Linked DNA regions of Arabidopsis thaliana. Each later gene encodes a partner of the first gene's protein in a complex. Each region holds a gene or a part of one and is shown in the gene's direction. Other genes may lie near its edges. The genes, in order: HAM1, AT4G37280 and AT3G24880.

The links.
Region 2: HAM1 (region 1) and AT4G37280 share a complex: the UniProt entries of both Arabidopsis thaliana proteins name them as parts of the nuA4 histone acetyltransferase complex.
Region 3: HAM1 (region 1) and AT3G24880 share a complex: the UniProt entries of both Arabidopsis thaliana proteins name them as parts of the nuA4 histone acetyltransferase complex.

Annotation. Positions count from the first base shown.
Region 1 is NC_003076.8:25,828,902-25,832,655, reverse strand, and holds the start of HAM1 (histone acetyltransferase of the MYST family 1), read left to right. Parts: upstream 1-1,986; 5' UTR 1,987-2,152; coding exon 2,153-2,459; intron 2,460-2,597; coding exon 2,598-2,686; intron 2,687-2,768; coding exon 2,769-2,828; intron 2,829-2,923; coding exon 2,924-3,133; intron 3,134-3,267; coding exon 3,268-3,336; intron 3,337-3,461; coding exon 3,462-3,623; intron 3,624-3,716; coding exon 3,717-3,754. Other genes in the region: C/VIF2 (cell wall / vacuolar inhibitor of fructosidase 2), read right to left, coding at 239-781. UniProt on the Arabidopsis thaliana protein: Histone acetyltransferase which may be involved in transcriptional activation. Acetylates 'Lys-5' of histone H4 (H4K5ac). Essential for gametophyte development. Involved in DNA repair after UV-B exposure.
Region 2 is NC_003075.7:17,547,824-17,551,577, reverse strand, and holds the start of AT4G37280 (MRG family protein), read left to right. Parts: upstream 1-2,018; 5' UTR 2,019-2,215; coding exon 2,216-2,356; intron 2,357-2,948; coding exon 2,949-3,002; intron 3,003-3,111; coding exon 3,112-3,125; intron 3,126-3,215; coding exon 3,216-3,361; intron 3,362-3,464; coding exon 3,465-3,500; intron 3,501-3,635; coding exon 3,636-3,676; intron 3,677-3,754. Other genes in the region: AT4G37290 (uncharacterized protein), read left to right, coding at 1,395-1,649. UniProt on the Arabidopsis thaliana protein: Chromatin remodeling factor. Acts as a 'reader' protein by binding to H3K36me3 and H3K36me3 to control histone H4 acetylation. Increases the transcriptional levels of the flowering time genes FLC and FT.
Region 3 is NC_003074.8:9,093,852-9,097,605, reverse strand, and holds the start of AT3G24880 (Helicase/SANT-associated, DNA binding protein), read left to right. Parts: upstream 1-2,068; coding exon 2,069-2,208; intron 2,209-2,316; coding exon 2,317-2,371; intron 2,372-2,464; coding exon 2,465-2,562; intron 2,563-2,638; coding exon 2,639-3,754. UniProt on the Arabidopsis thaliana protein: Component of the NuA4 histone acetyltransferase complex which is involved in transcriptional activation of selected genes principally by acetylation of nucleosomal histone H4 and H2A.

The DNA of each region.
Region 1 (3,754 bases):
CCCATTTCTTAAGAAGCCTTTTCCCCCAAATCTTCGTCACTTAAAATTTTTGGTATGATTAGTCAATTGATTGAGAAATATTAAATTCCAAATATTCAGGTGATCTCTAAAGATTGTTCTTCTTGGCAATTTGAAAGTTGTAGCAAAGACGAAAGTAATAAAGTAACGGTCATATTAAATTCATGAAATACGATAATTTAAATAGAGATTTTACGAAAGTAGTTAATGCAAATGTAAATCATTCAACAAGGCGATCAAGAATCCCGGAGACAACACCACAAATACGTCTCAGACTAGCTTCACGCCGGCGAATCTCCACCGGATAAGCCAACCCTTTAACCCGCCTAAAAATATTCCGGCAAACATTAGGATAATCCTGCGCCGCCAACACATGCATGGAGGCATAGTCATAAGCTTCATCATCAAGATCTTGAATCGTCAGCCGGAGAGAATCAGCGGCGAGAGCATACTTCTCGGAGCAATCTTGTAAGACCTTTTTGAGAACGGTGTCTTTTACGGTGGCGGATAGGTTTCCAGCGATGTAATTTGCGGTGGAGGTGGCGTTTGTCATACCAACGCCGACCATAATGGAGGCGAGACCTTTTGTGTCGGCTGTGGGACTTCTTGGGTCGGATTTGAGAGCTGAGACGCAGAATTTGTAGTAGTTTGTGGTTTTGCAAGTTGATTCGATTATTGTTGTTGTGTTGGATTTGGCTGAGATTAGGGTTGATGCTGAAAAGGTTAGGGTAACGAGGAGGAGGAAGATGAGAGAAGAAGCCATTTCAGGAAGAAGGTTTTGAGCAACTGTTTACGGAGAGATAGAGATGGAAGAAAGAGGATTCTTGTCTTTATATTCTGAGCAGTTTCTTGAATTACATATTTTACAAAATAAATACAAATGATAACGTTTCCGTTTATCATTTGTAATTGCACTAAATGAGGAATGATTTTCGCATGTAGTGTGGTAGTTTATACTAATATTGACCTATCAAGATTTAAATTCACATGATGCAAATTGTTGGTCAAATAATGAATTAAATTAAAATACGTTTTTCCAGCTTCGTCATTTCATTACATTTGAGTATCTTTACTTTATTTTTGAAGAATTTAGAATTGATGATATACGAACAAGATATTTGTCGATGAATCAATCATTGTAGGTAAAAGAATCAGCCACTTCAACACGTTATTTCCAAAATTTGATAACTAAGTTTTGTTTGCTCAACCAAAAAAATTCTGTCTGTTTTAAAGATTTCGTCACTCTTTTCTCATTTTTTCTTACAATTATACAATTTCACATCATTATTATGAAAAAGGATACACGGTGTGTAGTAGCTACAAAAATTAGAAAGATGAATATATGTCACCAAATTAAATCATTTTATTTAAATTTTCCCTTTAGTCAAGTTGCCATATAAGTATATAACGTGTTTACATGTGAACAACTGAAATAGGAATCAATTCTATTTTTCTTCATTCGAATTTCAAAAGTAAGTAAGTCATCCACTTCAATTCATAACCGAAAAATAAAAGTAAATTGATAGTATGTAAAAGTAAAACATTCTTTAAGAAAAATGAGATGTAAAATTTCACATACAAGATACAGTAAAGTGACCATGTGAATCTTTTTTGTTCATAAAAAATCATTTTGGTTAATCTAGAGGAACATGGTGTGCGAATCTATGACCATAACTTCAAGGACACGATGATGAGTTGTGTTTTTCGTCTTTGCTTCTTGGAACTTTGTGATTTTTTGATCTGTGAATCTTGTGATTAGTACGAATCATAAAGCCTTGTTTGGCTGTTTCCCATTCACGACAAAATACTGACTCTGTCACTTATTATTTATCTCTCATTATCTCTTTAGTTTTTATAAATTGTTTGCTCCTACTAATCATTCTTTAAATGTAACCTGGCGATTATAAAACTAAACATAAGCCAACAGTTATAAAACGTGTATTAACGACGGTAAGAGATTTTTTGCACCCAAAAAAAAAGGACGGTAAGAGAGACATATAGTACAGGCCAATTATAAAGATAGGCCCAATTGAGCATTCAAAGTTGTTATTGGGCCACACTCCTTCCAAATGATGTTCTTTATCCGTATGAGAAAAGAATCCACCCGGAAAAAATCTCCGACCCGACTAAAGAAATGGGATCGTCTGCGGATACAGAGACGGCGATGATAATCGCCACACCGGCGTCGAACCATAATAATCCGGCAACCAACGGCGGAGATGCGAATCAGAATCATACTTCTGGTGCGATACTCGCTCTCACGAATTCAGAATCGGATGCTTCGAAGAAGAGAAGAATGGGGGTGCTTCCGCTCGAGGTTGGTACTCGCGTGATGTGTCAATGGAGAGACGGAAAATACCATCCGGTGAAGGTTATCGAGCGCCGAAAGAATTATAATGGTGGTCACAATGATTACGAGTACTACGTTCATTACACAGAGTGTATGTCGTTTCCTCCTTTCTCTATCTGAAATTTGTGAATCTAGGGTTTATAGATTGGAGCTGAAATTTCGAAGAATTGAATTAGAGGGCTTTGCAATTCAAGTTGTTTTGAGTATCACAACTCTTGTGAAACTGCAGTTAATAGAAGATTGGATGAATGGATTAAGCTTGAACAGCTTGACCTTGATTCAGTAGAGTGTGCTTTAGATGAAAAAGTTGAAGACAAGGTATTAGCCATTTTTCTTCAAAGTCTTGAGCTTTCCTCTCCGTAGTTTGCACTGAAACATAGAAGTTTGTTTGTGGTAATAGGTGACTAGCTTGAAGATGACACGACACCAGAAACGGAAGATTGATGAGACTCATGTAGAGGTAAAGTGATTGGTTAAGTTAGTTAAACTTTGTTGTGGTTTTAGTGAACTGTGTGGCATGCTATATATTCTGATGTTTTTCGATATTTTGTATAGGGTCATGAAGAGCTGGATGCTGCCAGTTTGCGTGAACACGAGGAGTTCACGAAAGTGAAGAACATAGCTACGATTGAGCTTGGGAAGTATGAGATTGAGACGTGGTACTTCTCTCCTTTTCCTCCAGAATACAATGACTGCGTGAAGCTCTTTTTCTGTGAGTTTTGCCTCAGTTTTATGAAGCGCAAAGAGCAGCTTCAAAGACATATGGTGAGCAACTGTTTTTTTTATCATTTGTAGCATTTTAATTGTTTTGTCTTTACAGTTATTTTTAGTTTCACACATACCTTTTATGGGTCATTCTTTTTACTTAAGTTTTGCTCAATCGTCTTTTATCTATGCAGAGGAAATGCGATTTGAAGCACCCCCCTGGGGATGAAATCTATCGAAGCTCTACTTTGTCAATGTTTGAGGTAATAGATTGATGTTTTCATCCTTAAACTGTTTGCTTTAGGCTTACGATACTTGTTTGGAAGCTAATAAATGTATTTAGAATTGAATTTTCACGACCTGGGAGTTTATTTGTAATATCTTACAGGTGGATGGCAAGAAGAATAAGGTCTATGCACAGAACCTCTGTTATCTGGCAAAGTTATTTCTTGACCACAAAACTCTTTACTATGACGTTGATTTGTTCCTGTTCTATATTCTCTGTGAATGTGATGATCGTGGATGCCACATGGTTGGATACTTTTCAAAGGTATCAGCACACTTTGGCTCTTGGGTCTGTTATATACATGTTCTGTTTCAATTTGATTGTCTGATGAAAAAAATGCAATTTCTGTTGGTACAGGAAAAACACTCAGAAGAAGCTTACAACTTGGCTTGCAT
Region 2 (3,754 bases), on another chromosome or scaffold:
CCAAACCAATATTTATAAAATCGAAATAAAACATTAAACCGGGTTTTAAGTACTTTGTTTGTATTATTCAATAATTGGTTATTAAACTAAGTTAATAATTTCAAAATAGTGATTTCACCTTAAAATATGGGAAAGAGTTTCCTGATGCTCTGGAATTTGGTTTCTTTGTCTTATACTCTAACTGCGGATAAAAAGGAGCGATTTTGCTATAAAAAGGAACAGTTTGAGATGATATTACACTTTATTCCGGTAAATTATTTGGCTACCATCAATAATATATTCTTCAAAACTATCAATCTTCCTTTTTTTTTAGAAAATAAATAAATTTCATCACAACTCTGTTTGAAAAATCGTTTATGAACTTGAGACGGAAAAATTATCATAATTCAACGTCATATAGCAGCAAGAGTTGAAATAAAAATTAATGGTTTTGTCTTTTCATAGGATAGATTTCTTATTTCTACCTAACAAAAACTAAAATTTGGATGTTGAATTTTGAGTAGTATAAAGTTTGGTTGTTCAATGTTTTTTGCAAGAAAAATCACGTGAGAAGGAACTATTTTTGGTCGTGCAAGAAAAATAACACCAAAGTGTTTGAACTTTTGAAGCATTGATGATTAGGTTTGGTGTATCTAACAATATTATAAAACAAACACATGAGATCCGACTCATAGTCAATTTAGCTTATGTCACTCCTTAAATCAGCTGGTTTAACCGAACCAGAAACCCTAACCAAATTTTTAAAAAAAATTCAAGTTATCTGATTTTAAATTTATTTTCTATATATAAAAAATTTGGCTGAAAGTTGAAACGAAACCAAAGCTAGAGATGTACATTTTCTAGTAAAGTAAAATAAAGTAAACAAATTCAATCTGAAACCAACAATATACCATAATATACTTACGAAAACCAAATCTAAACCGGCTAACGATATATGTGAGTGTGACTTTATATACGTTGCGAGTTTGAAATTCAAGCATTATTTTTGGTCTACACAACTACAAATCTACCTTAATATTTAGCTGCCGTCTGCTCCAAACAATGAAACTTCATGTTTGGTCTACGATATTAAATTCTTTATTTCTAATATTCAATTCCTTATCCTTTTCTTCATTGATGGCTTTCACTATTTTGTGTTCAATAAATACACACAAAATTGAATGCTCAAGAAACAAGTTGGTATTTTCCCAGGAAGCAGCATACTAACTAATTTCAATGATCACATTCTTTTCAATTCAAACTTAGTCAAGAATAAAAATTCAAACTTTGCATCTCCACGAACACTACTATATAGTCACATTCTCAACTCACAAAACACTCACAACAAAATTCATTATCTGCCAAAGAGAAAGAAAACCATATTTTTTATAAACAGAGTTAAATTGTTCTTAAACATGATGATGAACAAAAACGTTCTGAGTTCGATTCTGTTCTTCATGTTGATTGGTTCGGTTCTTGTCGAGAGTCGTCCGCTTGGTCTAACAAAGACCGAGGAGAAGTTCGTGGCTAGTTTATTCGATGGCTTATCACTTGGTTCGATCAAAGACTCAGGTCCAAGTCCAGGCGAGGGTCATAAGGTCGTGGACAGGAAGGATACGTTTCGATTTGTTAAGCACTCAGGTCCAAGCCCAAGCGGACCGGGCCACTAATGTTTCAATCTTTAGTTCAAACCGGGCCGGTTAAAGTGCCCATACCCATCTAGGTCGAGAAAATTATTTCATTTTTTTGTTCCAGTTTCATTAGTGGAAAATATTATACATGTCTCATGTTTCTGATCGATACATAGGAAGAAGAATGGCAAAAACAATAATTATTGTCTCATTTTTCTATATTTAGGATTATTGTTTTGTTAGTGAAATAAAGTTACTTGAAAAGTATACAAATAAAATGTATTAATCAATTTTTTTATATTTATTTGAATGTAATAATAGTTAATAAACATCAGTGTCCAAAGTGAAATATGAGTCCAACTGCTCAACGACCAATAAAGGCATAAATTTTTTTAAAAAGACAATGCTTTATAAATGGGCGACGAGTATATTTAAAAGGTTTAAGAGATTTAATCGAACTATTGTGAAAGTTAAGGGACTCAATTGAAAAACTATTCGCAACGATTCAGTCATTCAGCAGTTGTCGTAGATTCATTTATCTAGACGGTTAAAGGGGTGCCTTGTGATGTGAAGATCTTTGCCTCTCGCTCTCGCTTTCGGTGACAATGGGAAGCTCGTCGAAGGAAGAGACGGCGAGTGACGGAGATACGGCGAGCGGTGGCGCCTCACCGTCCAACGACGGCAGACTCTTCTCGGAGGGCGAGCGTGTTCTCGCTTACCATGGTCCTCGCGTCTACGGAGCCAAGGCAAATAAAAAACCTCTCTCTCTCTCTCTCTTTCTCTGTGCATCGTCAGATGTTCGCATAATTTGAATTCTAGAGATTATCTTGTTCGTGTTAATTTAGCAATTCTTGTATTTCACGTGGGTTTTGGTTGTATCCGACTACGGAATTAACTGGTTTCATTGAATTGAGATCTCTCTGCTAGATTTGGCTTAGGGGTTTCTTGGTAGATTTCGGTTTCAAGTTACGACGATCCGAAAGATGAACCCATTGAGATTGGATTCGAGTTTTCTTTTTTTGGTAATGGATTCATGTAGCATTAGAGCTTTTTAGATTGGAATGATCATAAATGCTTAGTCGTAATAGATGCAAAAGAATAATTCACTTGCCGTTGGAGCAAGGAATTCAATAAATTACTCGGAAAATAGGGCAAGCTAATCTACTTGCATGTTTATTTTTTCAATCATATATTATATAGGTCACTGGATTGAGTCTCATTCATATCAAATGTGTGTCGTTGTTATGCTAAATCTTCATAGTTTTGAAAAAAATCTGTTATTGCATAGTGTTTTCAGTGTGTGGGCAGACCTGATAGATTATTGACATTCCATTACAGGTTCAAAAGGTCGAGCTTCGGAAAAAGGAGTGGAAATACTTTGTGCACTATCTTGTGAGGCCTCCTTCTTCTGAGCTATTATAGTTTCATTATCCTGTTTCATGTACTAGCTATTTTCATTTTGGTTTGCAGTAATAAGTGATACAGCGATCTTTGTCTGCAGGGTTGGAACAAAAAGTGAGTATCTCTCTCTGCTCTCATGTCGATTCTGGTTTATGTAGCAAAATCAGTAGATTGGGACCCATGACATGATTGTCTTGCCAACAGTTGGGATGAATGGGTTAGTGCGGATAGATTGTTGAAACATACCGAGGAGAATCTTGTCAAACAGAAAGCTCTAGACAAAAAGCAAGGAGTTGAAAAAGGTACCAAGTCTGGCCGTTCCGCTCAGACAAAAACTAGAAGCTCTGCAGGTGAGTTGTTGCCTCCACATTGACCATGCTGAGAGTACATGATACATATTTTGGTCATCCAGGCTAAGAAACTAACTATTTCTTTCTGATCTTGCACTTGCAGACACAAAGGCTGATAAAGATGACACCAAGACCAATGGTAGGCAACATATTAATTTACGCTCCCTTTGTAGTTCAGGGTTCTCCCAACAATTTCCAAGGAAATGATTTGGTAGACTGGGTGCAACTTAAATTATTTAAGCTGGTGTATAGATGATTACATTTTCTGTTGCAGCTGCAAAAGGGAAGAAACGAAAGCACGAGTCAGGCAATGAGGTCAGGCTTGCAAAAACTTAGAGATGTATTTGGTTCATACCTGTTAGGTCTTTGTTAAGATTATATTTTACAGTACAA
Region 3 (3,754 bases), on another chromosome or scaffold:
ATATACGAAAAACCAGGAAAAAAGAGAACATGTTCGGTTTGAGAAGGGAGAAGGGAGACTCACTGAAGCCATTTTCGACATTTGTTGTAGGAAAATTGGTATCGGAGAAGGAAGCTTCTTCTGGCAACACTGTGCAGTGACGGCAGTAAAATTCCCTTTTTGCAGAAGGCAAAAAAAATTACTTCTTTTTTTCCAACTCGAAATTTTTACTTTGGCTGTAAATAGTAAAATTGTTTTTGAGGAATTTAAAATGGTTACATCATTTACATGTTGAGGTATACTTGAGGAATTTGTGAGGAATTGTTCATGTTTAAGAGTTTTATTTTTGTTTTTAAGTTGTTTCATAAATTAATAAAATTATTATTCTTAGAACTAAACAACGCAATAGGCTGCACAAAAAGAAAAGAATCTATTGTCATGTCCATGGAAAATATGAGAGAAGACTTCCACTAGAAGTTGTTAGTAAGGAAAATTCTAAACAGAAAAAAATAGTTTAAATTTTATTTTAAAAGTAAAAATTAGTAGTTTATTTTATTAGTTTATGCGTTTATATAATATTTCTATTTGATAAAAAATAAGATTAAATGTATTACATTCTTAATATTTTGTAATTTGTAACTTTTTACAAATTAAGTTACTATCTTATGTTTAATAAAATTATTAAATTATAGAAAATTTCAAGTTTAATATTTTTTCATATGTTTTATTTGGTATTAGTCTCTTAGATTTCTAAACCCGAACCCAAAAAACCCGGACTCGATCCGAATTGCCTATGGACAACGTGGGACAAATATAGTTTTACAAAACCAGCGACATGCCTGAGATTTGTAGAGATCCATGTCACACAACATGAAACTGTTATAACTTTATTACTACAAAAAGGCCCGAAACAAGACCAAGCAAACAAAAAGAAAGGCCTTGTTTGGTCAAAATCTCAGGCCCAGAATTCGGAGAGAGAGAGAGAGAGTCGCATACTGCGTCGAGGAGAGAGAGAGAGAGAGAAAGAACGAAAAAAAAACATCAACGAGAACTCAATTTTTTTTTTTATCTCCCGAGAGGGAAACCAAAATTGAAAACGAAAAATAGCTGAATTAGGAATCAATCTCGCAACAAGCAAGCAATTTCCATGGATTCCTTGTTTTGGGAGGAGCTTCTTCTCTTCTACTCTCTGAGAAATTGATTCTCGTCTTTCGATTTGAAAGAAAAGCTTATAAGAATTTGGAAGCCCTAGGAGAGAGAAACTAATTTTAGAATTTGGTGATTTTGCCCGAGTTTTGTGCCCTAGCTTTTTGCCTTCGTTCTGTTCTGTTCTACGTTCAATTTCCAGGTTTAACTCTCTTCTCCTTCACTCTTCTATTCAAACCCTAGAGTCCAGCTTTGCTGGAGCTTCTGTGATTTTGAACCCAGTGCTTCTTTTATCAGGAATGTGAATTGTTTGCTGAAATTGTGTCTCTGTAGTTCTTTGTTTCTACTCGTTTAGCTTGGAAATGCTCAATACTTGATTCAAGAGTTCGTAGGCACGCCATTAAGTAGCTTAAGCTGATCATTTTCTAACTTTGGTTCCTAGTAATCGTTGTTAGTGTTGGATTAAGCTTCTAGAACCTCTCTGCCTTGAGGCAACATTTCATTTCTTTGGTATCTTAGAGTTCTATTCTATCTCTGTTATGCTGGAATACGTAGTTGTGAGCTTCTCGGGGATCAGAATGGTATTGGCGTTAGATATATAGAATTCTCAGTCAAATACTAGATTCTGGGGAGTTATCTTCACTTTGATGTTCCTTTGGATAGTGGCTAGAGTATATGAGTGAATGTTGTTTTACTTTTGACATCTTCTGAGCAGTTACATCTTGAATCTGATAAGCTACTCTATTATATGATATCATATGGTACTGCTTTTTGCATCATGAGAACATACATTTTACCAGTGTTATTTGTAGGTCCAACATTTAGGTGTAACTGATTCTAACTTCTGCAGTATGATCATTCGGAATGCTGTAAATACTGAAAGCTCTTGATATAATTTTTCAGTTAAGCTAGAATTCGAATTGATGGGGTATTCGACGTGGTGATGCATGGAAGCGTTTCAGGATATCTTCTAGTAAATGCTGAGGTTGATTCCATGGGAGGAGTTATCGATAGTGGAGGTGGTATTGGTGTTAAAACATCTCCGCGCCGAACAGCTATTGAGAAGGCTCAAGCGGAGCTAAGGTATTTCAGATTGAGACATCTTGATCTTCTGCAGTGTGTTTAAATGCTCTATAATTTCTACAGCTTTCTATTATTTCCAATGTGTAACAAAGATGCTTATTTCAACAGGCAAGAGTATGATGTTCGTGAGGAAAGGAGGAGAGAATTGGAGTTTCTAGAGAAAGTATGAATACCTATTTCCCTGTTCTATAATTGTTTTGTGTGTGTGTGTGTAAGAACTTATGATGACAAGCCTTTACTCTTCTATCTGCTTCAGGGCGGTAATCCCTTGGATTTCAAGTTTGGTATTGCAACTTCACATAGCGTCCAATCTACATCACTCACAGATCAGCAAGCAGAGCATTTTGTAAACAGGTACATTCGTGTTTGGTGTAGTTCCCACATTAATTTCATGGAATAACTCATCATTATTTGCCCATAACCCCCACAGTGAAGTCAAAGATAGTTTTGCCCTGACTGCCTCACCACATGGTGACTCGGTGGAGAGTAGCGGTAGACCTGGAGTTCCTACAATTTCTGAACCCAATACAGCAGATAATCTTTTACTGTTTGATTCTGAAAACAAGTCAGTTGAAGGGGAAAGAAATTTGAGACATCCTAATAGGCAAAACAGAACTTCTGAGTCAGAACGATCTTCCAAAGCACACACCAACCAGAATACCAAAGAAACAGAAGATTCTGCCATCTTTCGCCCGTATGCTCGGAGGAACAGATCGAAGATAAGTCGGGATCCAGCACGGTCAAGCTCTACGGATTTAGTTCAGAATCGTGGTGGTCTTGCAACGTCTATATCTATTCGCAGAGGATCAGTGGAAGGAAAGGGTTGCATTCCCGAAGCAGCCAATCAAAAGGATATGCATACAACTTCTGTATCTTGTCCAGTATTTGCAAATTCAAATGGTAATATCGTTCCGAAAAATAGAGTTTCCAGCAATTCGCTGAATACTAAGGTGGATGGTGAACCTGTTGTACGAGAGAGTACTGCTGGATCCAAGACTAGTCTATTGAAAGATGAAGCCGACATTTCGTATAGTAAAAGCTCTGCATATTTGCCAGTTGGAGAGTCTGGCCTTGCTGGGGAGAAGGCACAACTAGTTTCGACTGGTGGTTCTCCCAAAGCTGCAACAATAGCTGGCCAGAAAAATAGTTCTACCCAACTGAATGGCCTAAGAGATTCCACGGTAGAGGAAGAAAGCTTAACAAATAGAGGAGCTACAGGGACTAATGGGTTAGAGTCAGAGTCTTCTCATGCGAACAACGTAGAAGTAAATGTAGATAATGAAAGAGATCTTTATAAAGTGGACAAACTTGACTCTGATGAAATCTCTATGCAGAAGACTTTGAGAGTAGAGGGGTTACTAGATCAAACAGTTGGTGAAATGACCAAAACTAAGATTGAAGATGAGACAGGTCAATCTACCACCATTATCAGTGAGTGCATTCCTGAATGTGAAATGCAGATGAAATCGGTTAAAATTGAAAATCAAAGTCACAGAAGTACAGCTGAGATGCAAACTAAGGAGAAAAGTTCCGAGACTGAGAAAAG